2 linked regions of the Tamandua tetradactyla genome follow. The protein of the gene in region 2 interacts with the protein of the main gene of each other region in a biochemical or structural test. Links are inferred from orthologs where the notes say so. Each region holds a gene or a part of one and is shown on either strand. Other genes may lie near its edges.

Evidence for each region.
Region 1: of the proteins of RRAD (region 2) and CAMK2G, one has a biochemical effect on the other in vitro, tested with the Homo sapiens proteins (2 studies listed by BioGRID, with this or other methods). The link is inferred for Tamandua tetradactyla from reciprocal best matches to the Homo sapiens genes RRAD and CAMK2G.

The regions. Positions count from the first base shown.
Region 1 is NC_135339.1:22,774,347-22,784,419, reverse strand, and holds the start of CAMK2G (calcium/calmodulin-dependent protein kinase type II subunit gamma), read right to left. Parts: upstream 4,490-10,073; 5' UTR 4,408-4,489; coding exon 4,343-4,407; intron 2,948-4,342; coding exon 2,853-2,947; intron 1-2,852.
Region 2 is NC_135342.1:60,614,566-60,624,880, reverse strand, and holds RRAD (GTP-binding protein RAD), read left to right. Parts: upstream 1-5,398; 5' UTR 5,399-5,510; intron 5,511-5,567; exon of another isoform or gene 5,568-5,728; 5' UTR 5,729-5,743; coding exon 5,744-6,113; intron 6,114-6,745; coding exon 6,746-6,819; intron 6,820-6,990; coding exon 6,991-7,195; intron 7,196-8,016; coding exon 8,017-8,294; 3' UTR 8,295-9,347; downstream 9,348-10,315. Other genes in the region: CIAO2B (cytosolic iron-sulfur assembly component 2B), read left to right, coding at 287-384. UniProt on the Homo sapiens protein: May regulate basal voltage-dependent L-type Ca(2+) currents and be required for beta-adrenergic augmentation of Ca(2+) influx in cardiomyocytes, thereby regulating increases in heart rate and contractile force.

The sequences.
Region 1 (10,073 bases), on a different chromosome or scaffold from region 2:
TATGAATAAAGATAAGAAGGGAATATGAAGATTTAAAAATAAAAAAAGACATAAGGGCTCAGGCTCCTTGGAGGGAGTGCTCTTAAATCTTAAAATAACGACTTATCATTGCCATCACCTGGCCCACTAGCTCTAACATCCAAGCCTATTTTAAATGCTTCCTTCAGCTAAGCTTGGTACCACAGGCTCAGTGAAGAGCTCCAACGCCACGTCTATTGCTTTTATGAAGCACACAGAGTGACGTTATGTGACTTTCAGTGACTTTATGCAGACAGGCCTGCAGGCAAAGACTGAGCTCGGTGTACATCCCACGAACCCACCTGCCCAGGTGGGGTCTCTGAGACCACAAAGACAAGAAGCAACGGACCAAAAGAAGGCTTCCTATCCAGATCTGACCCACCTGCCTCCTGGCCCATGCCACCACTGACGCCAAGGAGCCAAGGAGAAACAGCTCATGGCTCTCTTTCTTTCCTTTGGGTTAGCAGTACAGAGAGTCACAAATGAGAAAGAAAACAGGCAGGAGACTCAGCCAACACAATAAGCCCCTTCAGAACCTCATCGATGACCCTGGTGGGCCCTCCAGATTCCCAGACACAGAAATCCAACACCTGCGGAGCCCTAGACAGACAGACAGCGACCAGTGAAACCCAGCCCCAGCTGCTGCACCTTTATAAAATATACAGCGTAAACTGAGAGGCTGCAGGGAAGCCACGGCCTGCGCTTCCTAACCCCATGGGCACCAGCCCGTGGGCACCCTGGCCCAACCCTCTCCAGGAGCTCACACCACCCCCTTGCTCATACCTACAGCACAGCCCCCATTGCTCCCTCTATCTCCATGACAATGCCCTCCCACTCTGCCACCTCCAAACATTACTGGAACTTACAGATTCCTGACCCCTCTTCCTAGCATATGTGCCTATCAGCCAGGACCGGGCCTCTGTCCCAAAGTAATATGGCACAAAAGCAACAAAAAGGAGCTCTAGTCTTGGGTATAACCATCTCAAGAGAGGGGGAGTAACTGTCTGGAGCATATGATCCTATGCAAGAATCTTCTTCTTTAGGAACAAAATCAAAGAGAAATCAATCCTAGTCCAATTTGGGCAGGGAAAGAAAGATTACTATACGGCAAAAGGTAGGAAAAGGGTAAGGGAGGGAAAGGGACATTCGGGTGGACAGGAAAGGAGTAGAAAAGTGAAAACCCAAACCAGGCTATCATCACATCCTAGAATTTAGCTCCCAGCTGTCTCTCCTTCCCTCAACCCTAGGTCAGAAGACAGGTGAGATGAGGATAGCAAAGCATTGCCTCACTGACACTGGCCCCATCTCTGATGCCCCAGGACTCTGCCATACAGGCCTGGGGAGGTAACCATTCTCCAACCACCATGCCTGCCTGCACCGTTCACCATGGCCAGAGAACATCTGCCACTGAACCCAGCCTACACTGGCTCCCATCTACTCGAGGGGAGGAGAGCATCTGACCACCCACATATCTCTATGGCAACCACTGCCCCAGCCTCAAGGTACCCAGAGAAAAAGAAAACAAACAAGTCAACTTCATAGCCAATGTACATGAACAGCAAGTGACGGGGACTGGGTGGGAGACAGGAAGGCAAGCCCTGCTCAGGGGAACAGGGAAAGACCCTTCCAGCCAAGTGGCAGATGCAGCCTGCTGAACAGGTCCCAGGACAGCCATCAACAAGACTGAAGCCCACTGTCAGCTCTGTGGAATCTGATGGTGTCTCTGAGTGCTCGGAGGCATCTGACTACATCTCCTATGCCAGAGATTCCCATCTCAATACAGACAACAGCCATGTCTTCTTCAGGGCACTTATCCTGACTCCTGATGATTTATGGTGCCCTATTGCCCAGCCCTAATTTCTTTCTCTGAATCCCATAACATTTGTCCCCCAGCTGCACCCTGCAGCCCTTGACTCAACCCATTACATACTTTCTTCTCGCCAGACTTGCTCACAGAGCACTTTGCTCATGGCTGCGTCTACACCTATCAGATGAGGTGACTTTGGCAAGCACCCAATATGTGGTTCAGGGAGTGTACCTTCTAGGTGTGAAAGCCAGGACCCAACCCTCCTGGCCTCAGGTCCTTGGAAGGATCCCACAATCAGGCTCCAAGGCCAGGCCTTCCTCCATCCTTGAACCCTGAGGCAGTGCTGCTCTCGCCCAGACCAAGCCATGGGGGGGCGGAGGGGGGGTTCCAGGCCAGGAGGCATCACCCTCCACCCAGGACAGACTGCATCTGCTGCTGCACCGCTAACTTTGTAATTTGATCAAAAAAACAATCAAGTTCATCTGGCAGGATTTGTTCCCGAGGAGCCCTCGTCAGTAACAGCCTGCCCTGATGTTTACAGATTGCCTTCCCTTGGGAGTCTGTTCTGCCGCCTGGTGGGTAGGGGGAGGCTGGGTTTGTCAGAGCTGCTCATTTACTGCATTACCATCCTAAGTCACCACTGGGACATAGCAATTAGAATGGGCCTGGAGTGGTTACCACTGCCCCCAAAGAGGGAGGCTCCAAGTGCCCCAAATTAAGAGCTCTCTATTCTGTGTACCCCACCACTCTCCATATCCCCCACCTTCCCAAGGATCAAACTCCCTCGAGCCTTCAGGGACCACTCCTCCCTGAGGCCACCTACATCTTTTACATGCTCCTTATTCTGTCTGAGCACTTCCAGCTCCCAAAGCCACTCTTCCCCTGGCTTCAAAGTCCACCCACCCTGAATTCCAACTCTTCTCCAAGACCTAAAACACAGAACCCCTAACCCCAGCAGCATCTTCAGAAAAAAGCCAAGAACCTAGGGGACATCCCCCCAGGGAGAGGTCGAGTTGGGGCCACTCACCCCGGGCAGACAACTTCTTGGTATTGATGATTTTTGCTGCATACTCTTGCGTGGAGGTTTTCTTCACACACCTGCGGACCACAGAGAAAGCACCCCTGGAGGGAGAAGGGGAAAGAACTGGGACACAGAGCAGGGCAAAGTGACACAGACACATTTCAAGTCAAAGGACAGTGATATTCCCTTCCTCAAACCTTTAGCCAAAATTACACACCCATCCATCCCCCCCACCCCCCACACACACACCTGCGTCATGACCACCACTGTCCAACATATGGCAGGAGAATGTGGTCACTCACGACACTGAACAAATGTGGGGTAGCCTGCCAGCCCACTCCCACCTTCTCATCCAGTCTGGGCCAGAGCAGCAGTCCCAGTGCAAGCTGCACGGCGGGAACTGGTGGGCGATGCTTAAACACACACCTGCTGCATCTCACTGATAGCCCTGCAATCCCGACCAAGAAACCCAGGAGAGAGGAGGGAACACAGAGGCCCCTGTCCTTCTCCCGGCAGCAATAGTTGAGGGCAGGGGAAGGAGAGATAAGAGGGTACAATCCCCAGAGAGGGAAATCTCCCCCATCCATGGGGAAGGTGAGGAAAGTGAGACTCGAACCCCGCACGGCGGGCTTCATCCAACTGCATCCCGGCTCAACTGACAGCAGGGAAAGAGGAAATGATATTGGTCGCAGACGTCAACAACTCCCCATCCCCATATTTTGCTCTACGCCCTCGCCCCCCCCCCCCCAATGGGAACGGGCACTCTCCAGCTCTGGAAGCGTCTAGGGGGGCGGGCGGGGCGGGGGCTGCAGTGGCCGGGCTCGGCGCCGCGGGTGGGGGTGGGGGGGCCCGGGCTGCTGCAGCGGCCAGCTCAGTGCAGAGGGGAGGGGGATGCTGCGGCTGCGGCGCGCGGCTCCCGGGACCACTGCAGGGATGGGGGGAGGGGACGGGGGTGCTGCAGCACTGTCCAGCAGCGGGGTTGGGATCCTGGAAGCAGCACTGGCGGGGGGCGGGGCCGGGCACCAAACATCCTCCCCCCACACACACCCTGGCACCGCAGCGGGGTTGGAGCTGCAGGGCTGGGGAGGGTCTTGAGTGCCAGGCGCGTGGGACATGGGGACAGGGTAGAGTGAGCTCTTGAGCAGGGTCGGGAGGGGACGACAAGCAGGCCGGGTCCGGGAGGGGGAGCGCCTAAAGGGTGCGGGAGGGGCGGGGCTGGAGGGCGCCCAGGAGCGGTCCGGGGGCTGCAGTCCCCGAGGCAGCGTGGGGTGCAGCAGTCCCGGCAGCTGCTGCAGGGCGCGGAGGGGGCTGCTGGGCAGGGGCCTGGGGGTGAGGGCGCCCTGGAGGCGGCGGGCGGGAAAGGCGGGGGGTGGGGCAGGCCGAGGGGGCGCCGCAGCGGCCGGTGCAGGGCCGGGGGGGCGGGGCGAGAAGCCCGCATAGTGCCCCGGCGACCGGGGCAGGTTCGGGGGCCGCGGCGCGCTGCGGGCGGGCCGTACTTGCCGAGCTCCTCGAAGAGCTGGTAGTCGTCGGTGAAGCGGGTGCAGGTGGCGGTGGTGGCCATGCTGGCGGGCGGGCGGACGCGGCAGTGCAGCCCGCGCCGACGTCGGTGCACAGTCACCGCCGCCCGGCCGAGGGAGCAAGAGGAGGAGACGGGGCTGAGCCCGGCAGCACCGCGAGACTTTACCGGGGAGAGCGAGGGAGGGAGGGACACCCCCGCGCCCGCCCGCCTGCCCGCCCCGCCCCCAGCCCCGCCGGCCCCCCGCCCGGCCCCCGGACCGCCCCCGGGGTGGGGCCTCCCGCTGCCGGCCCCGCCCCGCCCCGGGTGCCGCCCTGGCAGAGCCGGGCGTGCACTGGAGCCGCCGGGAGGGGGAGGCTCAGCCCCAGGCCGCCCAAGGCGTAGGGAGCTAAAAGGTTTGCGCCCTATGGACTCATTCCCGGGCGGACCCTGCATGGGCTTGGGAATGTGCGCGCGAGGGTGTGTGTGTAGGGGGGCTGGACTACCGAGCTTCTTGAGGGACCCCACACACGAAATCCTAAAACCCCAGCCCGGCTCACATGATGTGCAGAGGGGGCCAAGGTCAAAGAGCCTCTGTCAGCCTGCATACTCGGGGGACGCCCCCCAGCCAGTGCAGAGCTATCTCCCAGCAGCCTACCCTCAGGCAGCTGACCGTCTAGACTTGAGCAAGCATCAGGGCCATTATTAGTAGAAACCCTTCAGGCACAGTTTGATCAGGGACACCAAGGGAAGAGGGAGTGCAAGGTTGCAGGTGAAACTGTGCCTTAGAGATGAGAGAAGGATCTCTTTCAAACTAATAGTGAAAGGGATGAAGTGGAAAAGAATAGAAAAGGATTTGTGCATGGAGATAAAACAGCAAGTGCAAAGGAGAAAACATTACCATTTTCTTGCAGAACACCTCATTCTTTTACCTTATGGCACTATCACTTTTTGTAATGGTAACATTTATAGGTATGAGAAGCAGGAGAACTAGAGTACAGTTGTTCAAAGAGTGAACTCTGGAGTCAGACTGCCTGGCTTAGAGTTCTGGGCAATTCACTGACCAGCTGTGCGACCTTGGGCAAGTCATTTAATCTTTCTGTGCCTCGATTATCAGTCTCTTAGGTTTGTAAGCATTAAATGCATTGAATCAGGTAAAACACTTAGAATAGGACCTGGTACCTAATCAAAACTATGTGAGTCTTAGCTATTATTATTTGTTTAATATTTGCCTTCTCACTAAATTGTAGGCTCAGATAAGGCAGGGCCTCTGCCTGCTTTGTTCATCATTGTATAATCAGCCCCAGACCCTCAATAAATATTTGTGGAATGAAAGGGCTCCTCAGGGCACCTGCAGAGGGAGTTGCCACCCCTTCCTTTGTCCTCAGAGGGTGGTGTGACAGAGGCACAAAACTGTCTTGGTGGAGGAGAAACGGGCTGGGTGGATTCCCAGCCTGCCCCTGCAGCTGTACCCCGATTTGGGGGCCAGCCCTAATTTGGCAGGCAGGAGTTCATGCCAACTGCTGCAGCTCAGTCTTGATTACAGCAGGATGCCCACCGGGAGTTGGGCCTCCATTGTCAGCAGCTCTGCTCTGCCAGAGGAGGTAGCTGAGAGTCTGAGAGGCATCCCAAGCCTTCCTGCCTCCCCAAGGGGGGTGGGTGGGGCAAAACTCCCAGAGAGGGCTCCTCTCCTTTCCTTACCCAGCAGCCCTGGGAATTGGTTGGCGACCAGACTGCCAGGTGGGGGCAATCAGGGAATAGAAGGGAATGGAGCCTGAGAGGAAAAGCATGAAGAGATTTCCTGGGAGGAGGGCAGGGAGGGCCAAGAGAAAGGGTAGGGGTGACAGAGCACCAGGCCCCACCCCTCCCCAGGGCAAAAGGAAGCAGAGCAGTGGGGAGCAAGGCCACTTCCTATCTTGAAGCACCAGGGTGAGAGCCAGGTCGGTCCCAAGTCCAGGTGTGGGAAAGAGCAATCTGGGTATATGTATATATATATGGATGAGGGTAATTCTTGAGTTTCTGTCATCCACCTTAAAAGCAGAAGGGACAGCTAGTTGGCCTGGACTCCAGAAGTGGAGGCAGCAGTCTCCAACTGTGGGTCAACATCAGGAACACAACTCTGGGGGCTGCACACCAGTTCATCCTCAGTGTGCCCTTAGCCAGAGCTCAAGGTAACCGGCCAACTGGAGCTGGTCCTTGAAACTTTATATTCATGAATGTGAGGAATCGGATGAGGTCAGAACAAGCACAGATTAGGGCTGCCGTGGGGTCCCCTGAGTGTTTCCCAAGGGAAAATGTAAGGCAGAGCTAAGACCATGACCCTGACTGCCATGAGTGGGGACATCGCCTCCTCACTTGGGGATAAGGATTCCATGCTGAGTATTGCAGGGCAACCATTTTGCATTGAGTGTATGGGTAAAGGGAAGAGCGATGAGAAAGACATTGGGGTGATGCCTTGGACATGACTCCCGAGACTGTAGGTGGAGCGAGCTGCCTTTCCTTGAGTATTTAATCAGTTGCCTACTATGTGCTTGGCACTGCCTCTTATTTTGCGAATCATCCAAATAGGGTGGACAGTTAGAATCCACGAAATGAGAAACGCAATCCATTCTCTCCTTGTCCCTCTTCTGTCTCACTTCTCCCTCCCTCCCTCACTACTTCTCCCGACAGCTCAGACGTTTTGGAGCAGCCCATAGACTGCTCTGTGTGTACACACAAACACACACTCACATACACCCTCCTGATCCCCGCTGCTGAAGCACCCACACAACCTACGGCTACCCCACAGCAATTAGAAGGAAGATACACATAAATAATGACGGCTCATCAGCTCCCTGCGTATCAGTATCTATGGCAACCTCCTGGGGTCCGCCGGCTGCGCTGTTCCGGTTGCAGCCGGTCCCCTGGGCAGCGCTAGCGCTCAGGCCGTGCCCACAGCGCGGGGAACAGAGAATTAAACAGGAAATTGATGCCCTGATAATCCCCCAAGGGCCCCGCTGGGTGGGACCCTCCTTATTCTGTAGATCCTTCTTGAAGGCTCTGGACGTTATACCCGAGCCCCACCAACGACAGAAGCTTCCCTCCCTAATTTCGGAATGTAATTTTTAGGGGAGAAGCATACTTACTCTTCAGACTGGAAGAAATGAGGCAGGTTTCATGGCAGGGGGGCTGAAGTCCTGGGAAGGCGACAAGAGATGCCCACTCGTTGGGGGATGCTGTAAAATAAATCCCCAAGGGAATTCAGTCTTGAGTATCCTCCGGGGGTTTTCAGTTGCTATTCCACAGAACCCTAGAAACTACAGTCATGTCTCAGCATCTACCCAAAACGTATGTTGGGGTTCTACATTAGATGTTGCTGGAGAAAAGAGCCCCTGGCCCAAAAGGAGTTTGAAACCCACTCCGCCGGTAGCTTCTGGGGTCCCCTCCAACCCCCTGACTGGAGGGGGAGTGGGGGAGGGGAAGCGGGGGGAGGGCAAGGCCTCCCTCTGAGATGCTGAGATTTCAATCAGCGGTGAGGCACTTGAAATCAGAGAGGAGGTTGGACAAATGCTGTAGCATTTGGTGTGAAACGCTGAGGAGTGAGGTCCGAGGTGTTGGGAATGAAGAGGTGAGGTGGGAATTCCCGGTGCGCTGTAGGCGCGTGTAATGCCACTAGCGGGTATTAAGAGTGAGGGGCAGAGGGGCTGGCAGGGAGGGACCCCATTTGTCCAGCCAGAGGGAAGGTTCTGGAGGGCACCCCCGTCGCTGTCTTCCCGCCCCCAAGTCCAGGGCTGGGCTCTCTTTGCCTCTCGACCCCTCCTTTCTGGCCATACACTGGGAGCAGCTCGTAGGTAGGGAGTATCTGATCATTCTTATCTCCGACCCTCAGCACGCTGCCTGGCATACAGGAAACGCTCAATAAATATCTGTGGAATGAAGTATTGGGGGTAATGGGCTGAAATATTTGTGGCGAAGATGTAGCACTGGTGAGGGGGCGACAGAGCGGTCCCCGGAGGCAAGAGGGCCATGCTGAGGTAAGCTCCCGACCACCTGCACTGCGGGCAGGAGCCGGCGGTCGCCGCCGGGAAGAGCGGTGTGGCGCGCCCTCTGGTGGGCAGTTGGGAGGCGCGCAGGGAGCTGCGAGCGAGCGTGGGGAAACTACAACAGGAGAGAATGCTCCAGGAGCGCATTCTCCTGGAGCATTCCTTGTGAGGCGAGGCCACCCAAGCGGTAAGCATAAGTGATCCCTTTTAACCCTCACCACCACCCTATGAGTGCAGCGCTATCAGGCCTTTTACAGAGGAGGAGGCTGAAGTTTAGAAAGGTGAAGTTACTTGCCCAGGACAAATAGCTAGTAAGTGGTAGGACAGGGACAATGCGAAGGAAGGGAAGAGGATAGAAAGAGATATGGGGAGGGGGGTCTTGTACATGACATAGGGGGACAGTTCATATGTGCTCATTGGAATCTTAAACCCGACATGGACCTATCCCACCTCTAGTTGCAGCCCTGAATCTGGGAACTTACTCAGAGAGGACATCCATATCCATCCATTCATTCTACAGAGCACTTCCTATAGCCCACTCACCTGGGAAGCAGAAGAGAACAATCAGAAAAATATCCTGTCCCCATGAAGCTTATACTCCTGCAGGCAGTCAACGGACACAGTTAATTTTTAGACTGGAGTAAGCTTTATGGTGTAAAAAAAAAATGGATTGAGAGTGACTGGGGTAGGTGGGGTGGAGAATTTCTTTAACTGAGGTGCTCAGACATAGCTGCTTTCCAGGGAGACCTCAATGATGATTCGAAGCTCTGGGGCAAAAACATTGCTGGGAGAAGTATCAGCTGTGCAGAGGCCTGAGAGGGACGCGGTCTCCCGTATTCAAGGGTGCACAATGAAGGCTGGTGTGGGCAAAGCAGGGTGGGCAAGGGGGAGGCAGTAGGAGAGAGGACCTGGAGGCCCTGACCCCTAAAACATCCTGCCCTGTGCAACTACCCTAAAGCTCCTGCTGTGACTGGGAGTCCACAAGGGCAGGTTGCCTCCACACCCAGGCCATTTAGACAAGTACCTCCCCACCCTGGGCAAGCTTCAGGCCTAAATACTATAGGGGAAAGATGGGCCAGAAATAGGTCCTGCCTTAAAGAAGCTTTAGAGCTTTATTCACTGGGGGCAAGAAGACAAGCACAACCAAAAACGATGATACAAGCCTAAATATTCGTATAGTAGAGTCAGCCCCTAGATCTTTGTACAAATGGTTGCCTCTCCTGCGCTTCCCTCCCCTGTTTGCCTTCCTGCCAGGTCTCTCCTCAAGCATCAATCTCTCCCAATAGCCTTCCTTAGCCTCTTGACTAGATCAAATCCCTGTAATGACAGCTCGGTAGTACCACCACCCTTTCTTCAAAGCACTCATCCCAAATGCGATTTTACATGTGTTTGGAGCACTATGGACCCCATGAGACAGGGTCTGGGAGCATTTGTGTTCACCCTGATACTCCCAGGGTCTAAAGAGTATCTGGTGCATAGTCGGTGCTCAGTAAAAGCATAGAAGGTAGAGCAAAGTACAGTGAGGCTTTTAAAAGGGAAGCAATCAAATCAGCTAAAGAAAATGAGAAAAGACCTAATGAAAGAGATGAAAGGAGGAAAAGGATGTTGGCAAATGGAGGTGGAGGTGAGGCAATATTGCTAGTGGAGGAGATCGTGTGGATCAGGCCCTGAGATCCTGAGCGCTTGGCACGTGTTTGGGTAAATGGAATT
Region 2 (10,315 bases):
TGACTGTGCTTACCTCGTCCCTCTTCTACTCTCCAGTAATAGTACACGAGCCCATGCTTCAGGAATGCAGGAGGCAGAATGAGCAATCAGGTGGGAAGGGTTCCAAGAAAGTGGGATTGTTGTAGGTTCAGGTGGTTGAAATAGCCTAATCGAGGCTGAGGGTCCTGGCAAAGAGGCAACAGGAGGACTTTACTGGTTGGGCGTAGCTCATACAAAGGCTCAGAGGTGGGACTTGACTAGCAGCATGGCCAGAACCTCACTTTGACTCTCTCTCCTTCCCATCCAGTGAACAAGCAGCTTGCCGATAAGGAGCGAGTAGCAGCTGCCCTGGAGAACACCCACCTACTGGAGGTTGTGAACCAGTGCCTGTCAGCCCGTTCCTGAACTTGGCTTTTGGCTCCCAGCCCACATACCTCTGTCTGGGCCACAGCTCTACCCAGGGCTCATGGCCTTGTTTTCTGGAATCACTGACAATGGGAAACTTAACATTTTGCATTTTGTAATAAACTCTTAATTTATATTCATTTCCAAGCATGCCTTAGAGTCTTTCATCAAATGGGGTCACTCAGGGCTTGGGAGGGGTATGAGCCTATCCAGAATTCAGTGATGAACAGTTTATTGATATTTTAAATTTCTCCCATTGTTTGGACTAGGAAAAGTTGCAAGTGTACAAAACATCGAAAGGATAGTGAATAGTAGTGATCAGACCTGTATACCCATCACCTATATTCAATGGTTGTTAATATGTTGCAACATTTGCTTTTTTAATGTGTGTATATAAGTAGAATTTGAGAGAGAGCTGTAAAGACATGACCCTTTCCTTCTACGTACTCTGTCCTGCACTCCTATGAGAAAGCCTTTACAACCACAGTACTGTCACCTGGCCAAAATTATGAACAATTCCCCAATACCATCTAATATGTAGTCCAGATACAAATTTCCCTAAAATTTCATACATGGATTTTTTTTTTATCAGACTCCAATAGAAATTCTCATATGACCGTGTTTGGTTGTTAGGCTCTTTAGCCTCTTCAAGAACTGTCTCCTCCTATCCTGTCCCTTACTTTTTTGTGTCTTTCTTGACAGTTACTTTTTTGCAAAGTCCAGTCCAGTTGTCCTAGAAAGTCCTTCAGTCTAATATTTTCCTTGGTCACCTGTGTTTCCTGTAACCTGAAGTTGGTCTAAAGGCCTGAATGAATTTGGGTTTGAGTTTTTTGACAAGAACCCTGTCCAGGAGTGTGTTGTGGGTCCTTCAGCATCCACCAGTATGTGCGTAATGCCACCTTGCTTTGCCATTGGTGATACTCAGTCTGGTCCTCTGGTCAAGGCAGTGACATCTGATTTTTCTGTTAAAAGAAACACGAGGCACCCTCTCCTTCAGTGCCTGGAGATGTGTGTCACGGCAGGTGCTGCGATGAAGGAAGCTCAGCACCACAAGGGTATGTGCTCAGTTCTGGGCCTCTGCCTCCCACTGGCCCTGTGCCCAGGACACAGCTGGTCACCAGGACAGACCATGGGGCTGAGATTTTGTCTCAGCCAGTTAGGCTCTGTGGCCATGATTCCCTGCCTCAGTTTCTCTCTGAAGATAAATGGGAATATTAAGAAGTCTTGCTTTGCTTCACTGCATTTCTGCTGAGGGTCGGATGTGATCGTAGAGGTCTGTCTGTTCTGAGGGCTGGCTGATGACGTCAAGCCTGTCCTGAGAGCGCACACTGGGCTGATACTTTATACTTACTATCTAGTCAGTAGACCCTTGATCCAGCCCTGTGTGGCAGTTGCTTTTTTTTTTATCCCCATTTTGCAAGTGAGGAAATCTGCTTCTGGAATAAGTAATTTAAAGAGGGACCTGAGCAGTTTGGTGGGCGCTGCTCAGCTGGCAGGGGGCGCTGTCACCTTGATGAGAGGGCCTAGGCCCACCCACCTGGACTACTAATGCCACCCAGGAGGGAGGGACTCTGCATCTGGTGGTCCAAGCAAGAGGTGAAGCCACAGTTTCGTTTCTTCATCTGTAATGGCAGTCACCTGGATCTGCTGTGTGGAGATGTGAAATGGAACTGAGCGTATTTCAGGATCTTCTGAGCATCCTGCTCCCATTTTCGCAAAGGAGGAAGGTGAGTGCTCCAAAGAGGAAGGTGCTCAGCTGGGGCTCTGCCAGTCCCATAGAGCCTTCCTGACTACCAGACCCCTCCATGTGTGCCCCACCACGTGTGCACCTCTGTGCTGACAGCTCTGGTCTGTCTGAGGTGGCCGTGGTGGCTGTGTTCAGCTGGGACGATGGTTCATGAGGGAGGCAGGTGTGACTGAGTCACTCAGCTGGCCCTTCTAGCAATCTGATCATGGTGGGCAAGGGACGACAAACTGCTCATGCCACAGCTGGCCTGTCAGTCCTCTTGTTAATATTGACTCATCCGTGCCTGGCCCCTGGCTGCCTGCTGGAACACCATGTGTGCATCCTGGGCCAGCGTCCAGGGAGTTTTCTGGAACTCCAGCCCCTGGTAGAGGGGGATGGTGAGGTTTAAGGCCCCTGAAACACCCTCCACCAGCTGTGCCTGGCTCTGCTCCTTCTGGTCAGTGACCTCTCAGGCTTCAGTTACCATGTCTACGAAATGGGAACAACAAATCAGAACTAAATGGGGTTGACCAAGCAAAAGGTGACAGGTATGAATATGCCCACCCGTGTCTCTTTTTGCTTTTCATCCTGCCTCAGAGGTCTTCAGGGGGGTGGTTGGGAGGGCAGATACTGAAACCCATCCAAGTTCCCCTTTGCAATATTTTGCTACTTGAGGGAGGGAGCAGGATGTGGGATCCCCCAGAGAGGGGGTGAGTAGGGGGATGGGAGATAGGTACCTGCTCTTCTGTACCTCTGTTCTTCTCCTGGGGTCACAGCTGAGGAAAGTGGGAGGGCCTCCACATATTGATTGTCCAACTATGGATAATAATAGTGTTTTTACTGAGATACTCCTTCCTGCCAGGCCTATATCAGTCTCTTTACCTCTGAATGTCATATTATTTATGCTTCATAACAACTCTGTGAAGGTATTATGATCCCTGTTCTACCCAGAAGAAAACTGAGGCTCAGAGAAGATAAATGGGCAGTGGTGAAACAGCTAGCAAGGGACAGAGCTTGGATTTGAAGTCCAGGCTGTCTGACTCCACAGAGATTGGAGAGGTGGGGACCTCTAGGCCACCGATATCTCAAGCTCTTTTCCCCACCTTGGCTTGGGTATGTTTCAGCCTCAGTTTGCTCCTGGGCAGCTAAGCTCAGCCCAGAGAGCTGAAAGAACCAAGCAATGGGAAGAGGGGAATGTCTCAAGGTCATGTCCTGGTCTTGGCCCCTGGGGCCTGTAGCTATACCTAGGCTTGTGGAGGGTGTCTCTGTGGCCTGTTGGGGCAGCCACCTGAATGCCTGGGGCCTGAGTGGCCGCATGTGGTTGCAGTTCCCTTGGCAATGAAGAAACACTGCTGAGGTCACGAGCTCAGATGATAGGAGGGGAAACTCAGCCCAGTTTCCTTGCATGGCTCCCTGCTGGGAAGAGCCATGGCTATGCCCCACACCCACCTCTGCCCGACAATCAGAGGCCCTTTCCAGTAGCCCAGCCAGGTGTGGGGTGAGTGTGAGAGGGTATAAGCACCCTATCTAGGATTACTGATGGGAAGGGGTCTGCTGAATCTTGAGACTTTGTCTTTTCACAGGCCTGGCCCCATGACTCCCTCTTGTCACTGGACTTCATCTAGGAGACTAGAGCTGGGGCTACCCCCAAGATCCTCCAGGACCATGGTGGGGGGGGGGGGGGGACACAAATGGGCAGGCCAGCTCTCAGCCCAGCTCTGGCCTACCTTGGGGACTTCAAAAACAAGAGGAACCCACATGAGCCCCTGAACACTTGCCCAGTCAGGCACTCCTCAATCCAAGGCCTCCTCAGGTGTTGCCAAGGAAACTGATGTACCAGCCAGAGAGCCAGACCCAGGTCTCCACGACAACCTACAACAGCTCACCAGGGTCCATGATGTCACCTGAGCCCTGCGTGGGTGTCCCACACCCCCATCACCCTTTGTCACAATCAAACTACAGAGTCTGAGAGCAGGGTCCTATCGCAAAGCATCTCCCCTGCCTGACCCCAATCTTCACCCACCCAAGATGAGTCATGATGGGTCATGATGCCCAATTTACAGCAGGGCAACCTGAGGCAGGGACAGAAGCAAGATGTAGTAGGCTGGAGGCAGAGCCAGGACATCCTCTCCCCCCTGTGCCCCCGGCCCCTACCCTAGGTCTGAGAGAGGGTGAACTCTGGGCAGCGGTAGCTAAGACCCCCATTCCCCTTGGCCATACTCTGCCATCAGGCCCTTCCTAGGTAGGAGTCTGAATCTCTAGGCTCTGGGATGTGCCCTGAGCAGGAGGCTCAGATGGGCTAGAGGGAAAGAGGAAAGATTTAAAAGTGGCCACAGCCAGCCCTATCCATTTCTGCTGGCATCGATTCCCATCGGCCTGGATTTCCCCAGTTCTGGGCAACCTCCAGGCCAGGAGCAGAATGACCAGGGGCAGAGCCAGAGTCAGGTATTTTTAGTGGAGTTGCTGGCAGCTGCTTGGAGGGTGCTGGGGGGGAGGGTAGTTGCGGACTGAGTTCATCCTTTCCCTTCTCTGGACCCCGTGTCCCCTCCCCAGGATTCAAGCACTTCTACCTATAATACTCTGTCTGCTTCCTTTGTGCTCACCCAGGACTTAAGGGGTGGCACAAACCCTCACTCTGAACGGCAGGCTCATTAGAGAGGACTGCTGCTGAGGCCAGGGGGGTGAGAAGGACTAGTTGGTGTTAAGGTTAGAAGCCCATAGTTAGGATCTGTAAATTCTAGCTTGTGTCTAGGCCAGTGGGGAGTGGGTGTCACAGGATAGAGTAGGGTGAAATCTCTCCAGCCAGAGATTGGGCTACAAACAGGGACTGGGGGGGAGAAGTAGGGTAAATTCACTCGTAAGGAACCAGACCCAATACTTCCCCAGAGGCAAGCTGTGGCACTTGGTTGGTCTGGCAGCCCCACCACCAAGGGGCGCTTCCACCCCTTCCAATCCCCCTCAACTTGATGACAACCCACCCCTACCCCGCGAGGTTCACACACTCCCCATCCCTTCCCCCCTCCTCCCGCCCCTCAGACAGCTGCTCCCTGCCGCCCGGGTATTCCAAGACAGCTTTAACGCAACCCACCTCTGGCGGCCGGGGCGGGGTCTCGGTGGGTCCGGAGGCCTGGGAGGAGCATGGGGATTCCCCTGGGGTGGGGGTGGACACGTCAGCCCGGGTCTGTCCCCGCATCCATGCGGACCAGGGCGGGGGCGGGCGCCTGGGCGGGCGCGGGGGCGGGGGGAGGCTTAAATAGATGGCGCTGGAGCCGCGACCCAGAGCGGGCTGAGAAAGCGGCGGCGGCGGCAGCGGCGAGGGTCGGAGTGACCAAGCCCAAGTCTGCGAGCAAGCTGTGTCCGAGCCCGGGTCCGGGTCCTGACCGCTTCCGTGTGCTAGTGGGTGAGTGTCGTGGCGGAGCGGGGTGGGGTGGCCGCACCGTCTGGGCTGCGGATGGACGGGTAGGGGCGCAGGGACCTTAGGGCTAGGAGGGGACTGTGGCAGGTGCCGGCCACTGAGCATCTTGTCTGATTCGGGATTGCGCAGACGGGTCCCGGGTCGGGTCTCCCACCCCAGCTGCACCGCGGCTCACGCGGCCATCCCTGTCCCCGGTCCCCCAGCTAGTGTCGGACGCGATGACTCTGAATGGCGGCGGCAGTGGAGCGGGCGGGAGCCGCGGCGGAGGCCGAGAGCGCGAGCGCCGTCGGGGCAGCACACCCTGGGGCCCCGCGCCCCCGATGCACCGCCGGAGCATGCCGGTGGACGAGCGCGACCTGCAGGCCGCCCTGGCTCCCGGCGCCCTGACGGCAGTGGCGGCCGGGACCGGGACAGAGGGTCCCAGGCTGGCCTGGCCTGAGGGCTCCTCCGACTCGCTTAGCACCGGGGGCAGCGACTCAGAGGAGAGCGTCTACAAGGTGCTGCTGCTGGGGGCACCTGGCGTGGGCAAGAGCGCCCTGGCGCGCATCTTCGGTGGTGTAGAAGACGGACCTGAGGCAGAGGCCGCAGGTGAAGGGACGGTTAAGCAAGGCAAACCCCAGGGTCAGGGCTGGGAGCACGGGGCAGGCAAAAATGGGCAAATGCTGTGGGATTCTGCCCTACCCACCACTTCACAGCTGCGGAACTAAGAAGGTACTCCCAGCCCTGAATAGGGGAACATCAAGAATTGCTCTGCATGATGGGAGGGGGCACAGGGACAGGACAGCCAGAGGGCGTGCCTAGGAGAGAGCCTTAGGTGGCCAAGACCCCCAGGGCGTGACAGTCGATATTCTAACTCTGGTCACTGTGGTCAGAGTCGCTCCAGGGCCCAGGCAGCAGGTGGGTGGGGAGAACCTGACTGGCAGCTAAGGCCATTGCTAGCTTCGGAGTATCTAGATGGAGGTATCTAGATGAGTGGGGTATCTGGGCCTGGGGTGGCAGCTCAGGCCATTGCTAGCTTGGTGATGGTGGGGGTCTCTCTCTACCCCCATCCCTGTCACTTCTGTCTGCCTGCCCTGGGGACTCTGCAGGACCAGGAAGAACGTGGCAGCCATCTGCAAGTGGGGGCCCTGGGGAGGAGCTGGGGGTGTGGCAGAACAGGGAATCTGGTGCTGGGGGCTTTTGGCAGCCAGCAGGTAACGTACTACCGGTCTCCTGCCTAGGATACACATACGATCGCTCTATCACAGTGGACGGAGAAGAGGCCTCCCTCATAGTCTATGATATTTGGGAGCAGGTAGGATGCAGGCTGAGGCCTAGGGCAGGGGTGGGAGAGGTGGGCTGGGGTAGGGGGCAACATGGAGTGATGGGCTGGTGGCCAGAGCCTGGGGACAGCTGAGCAGACCTGTGCGTGTGTGTGTGTGTGTGTGTGTGTGTGTGTGTGTGTGTGTGTGTGTGTATTCTCCAGGATGGGGACCGCTGGATGCCCGGCCACTTCATGGCCATGGGGGATGCATATATCATCGTATACTCAGTGACGGATAAAGGCAGCTTTGAAAAGGCCTCAGAGCTGCGGGTCCAGTTGCGGCGGGCACGGCAGGCAGACGACGTGCCCATCATCCTTGTGGGCAACAAGAGTGACCTGGTGCGCTCTCGTGAGGTCTCCGTGGATGGTGAGCAGGGAGTAGGGCATGGGTTGGAAGGTTAAAGAAAGGAGATCCCAACTGGGTTGTGGTCCTTCCAGCTTTGGCTCAGGCCGAGTCTCTGGGGATCATCAGCGGCTAAAAATGTTCAGAAAGAAAGCTCAGAGTGGGGGTGAGGGAGCTGCTGCCTGAGAGGCCTGGGGAAAGGACCAATTGCAATAGGGGAGCAGGCTGCTGGGTGCTGAGCTAGGGCACTTCAGAGCCCTCCTCTCCTGTATCTTTTGGTCCTTTGCCTAACAGGTGAGGGGACCAGGTCAGGAATGCAGAGATTGGGATTACAGCCTGGACATGTCTTGGGGTTTGCTTATCCCTGGGGATAGCCCTTGCCTCTCGGGCTCAGCGTCCTCCTCATGTGCCCTAGAACCCAGCCCACTCAGAGGAACCCAGCAGTGACATGGTGACATTGCCCCCATTGCACTGGGTCATAATGTCAAATCGTAAAACGAGCACCAAGCAGTCCAACGAAGTTCTTATTTTCCTGTGTTGACTGCTGTAGCACTTCTGTTTAAAAACCAGACATCAAATTATTTTGAGCAGTGAATCTCCTTTTGCGGGCTCCTGGGCTCCCTAAACACAGGCCCTTCACCTGCTGAGTGACACAGCTGTGCTCAGGAGCCCCACCACAGGAGCTGGGTGTCTCCGTGTTCCTGGGGAGGACCCTGGGGTTCCCCTTTCCCTGGCCCACAGATCCCTGAGTGACAGCAGCTGTGGGTGGCTGGGGGTCAAGCAGTCCCTCACCCACACACCCTTTGTTCACCCGCGCTTGCCTGTCCTCCCCCCACCCACGCTAGAGGGCCGTGCCTGCGCTGTGGTCTTTGACTGCAAATTCATTGAGACATCGGCGGCGCTGCACCACAACGTCCAGGCGCTGTTCGAGGGCATCGTGCGCCAGATCCGCCTGCGCAGGGACAGCAAAGAGACGAATGCCCGGCGGCAGGCCGGCACCCGGCGGCGGGAGAGCCTCGGCAAGAAGGCCAAGCGCTTCCTGGGCCGCATCGTGGCCCGCAACAGCCGCAAGATGGCCTTTCGCGCCAAGTCCAAATCCTGCCATGACCTCTCGGTCCTCTAGGCCCCACAGGCACTCCCTGCAGGGGGCAGACAGATGGGCGGGTCGGTGGGCCGGCCCAGCCAACCGCCCTCGGTGCCTCGGCCCGACCAGCCTCTGGACCCTTTGGAGTTGCCAGCACTCCCACCTCACGGACGTGGACAGACAGACAGTGCTGTCCAGGGAAGCGGTGTCCAGTGGCCACGGAGGGCCAGGCCCCGCAGAGATGTGCATGCAGGCCCATGCGCATCCCAAGGCAGAAGCCAGAGCCCAGCCCAAGGGCCAGGCCTGTGCTTGGGGAGAAGACCTGACCTCCCACCTCCCTCCACACCCTGGAGGGAGGGAGGCTGTTCAGCGTGGTGGCTATTTGTTTACATGCAGGTTTTTGTAATAAAGATTATTTCTTGATAGGTCAGTGTTGTTGACTACTTGTTTCTTCTTATCTGGTGGCAGCAGGAGCAGGAAAGCTCCCGAAGTTGAGGGACGGGGACTTGCCGAGTCACCCCAGTGTGTGGCTTTGACTGTCCTAAGGGTTAGGCCAGGCTTAGGCAGCTGGGGAAGAGGGAGCAGATGTGGGGCCCGGCCTGCTGGGGGTTGATGCATCAGGAGGAGATACAAACTCTTCTCAGCCCCTATTATCTGGATCTTCCCCTGGCATGGCTCAGATGATCCAGTTCAAGTCACCCCACTGCATCTAAGGGAAACTGAGTCTGCATGAGCGGTTATGCCCTGTCTCAGATTTTACAGCCAGATAAGAACCCTGGTTTTGACTCCAGACTGTTGTCTCTGTGCTGCGCCATCCTGAGGGTCTGTGGAAGATTCCAGAGACTCCCCAGCTAGGAAAGGAGACCAGCTGCTTTTCCCAGGGTGGGGATGAGGGAGGCGCACTCAGGCAGACTTGATTCTGAAGCCCCCCACCCTTTCTACCTGGCTGGGACTGGGCTTCTGAAGGGGCCCTCGCTGTTCTTTTCCAAAATACCTCATGCTCAACATTGGCTAATTTGGTTCTGGCGGGAGCAGCTCCCTGGAGTCTGCCTGGCCTGGAATAAGAGACTTTGCATTTGTGTAAGAATACATGCACGTGCATAACTGGAGCATGCCTACTCCCCCATTCCCACCCCACCACCCCTGTCCCGCCATCCCCCCCACCCTCATCCCAGGCCCGGCCCCCCTCCCCAGCCCTTCTTGGCAAAGGGTGCCTATTAAGAGTTACTTACACAGTTTCAAGAACAAGCAAGACTATTGGGCAATGGCAGTTGGGGAACTGAAGTCTAAGGTCACATGGGCAGGAAATGACTGAGGGGGTGCTGCTGTCCAGATCGGCCCATTTCCAAAGCCTGGAGGCAGCTCTGGATGAGGTGCGGACTGCATTTGAGAAGGTGCTGGGCCAGGGTCCTCACGTCCTTTCAATAGTGGAACTTATTCACAAACCTCTGCGAGTGCCCACAACCTGGGCAGAACCCTGAGTGCAACTGAGATGGGAGGGGGCAGGAGGGCGGCCCCTCAGTGTGTGCAAGTGGGGTCCCTCTGAGACTAACCGCCTCCCACCCCCACCGAGGGCATTGTTTAATGTTTCAAAGCTGTTGCTGCTCCCTGGGAACAATCCGCACCCCAGCACACCCTGGGGCATGTGGAGGGCGTGGTTTTCTCCCAGGAGGTGATAATCTGAGTCCTCAAGATGAACCCAGGGCTTCCTGGCTCTGCCATTTTTACTGCTGTGTGTCTCTGGGCATACTTATCCTCTCTGCACCCCAGCATGCGACATAGGGGTGATGACCCCTTCAGATGATGGGAGCAGGTGGAGTAATGAGTTATGTGCTCAGAGCAGTGCCTGCTGCATAGTAGGAGCTCATCACGTGAGATTCCTCAGCATCCCCACCCCCACCATTCCTGGCTGGGCTGCCTGAGTGACTCTGAGGCAGGCATTCAGCCTGTGGTAGACAAAGCTGGGAGCAGCTAAGGGCCCAGGCCAGATTCCCGCCTGAGAGAGATTAGCCAGATACGCAGTTGGAAGGACTCAGGAAGACCACAGAAAGCTCAGAGGA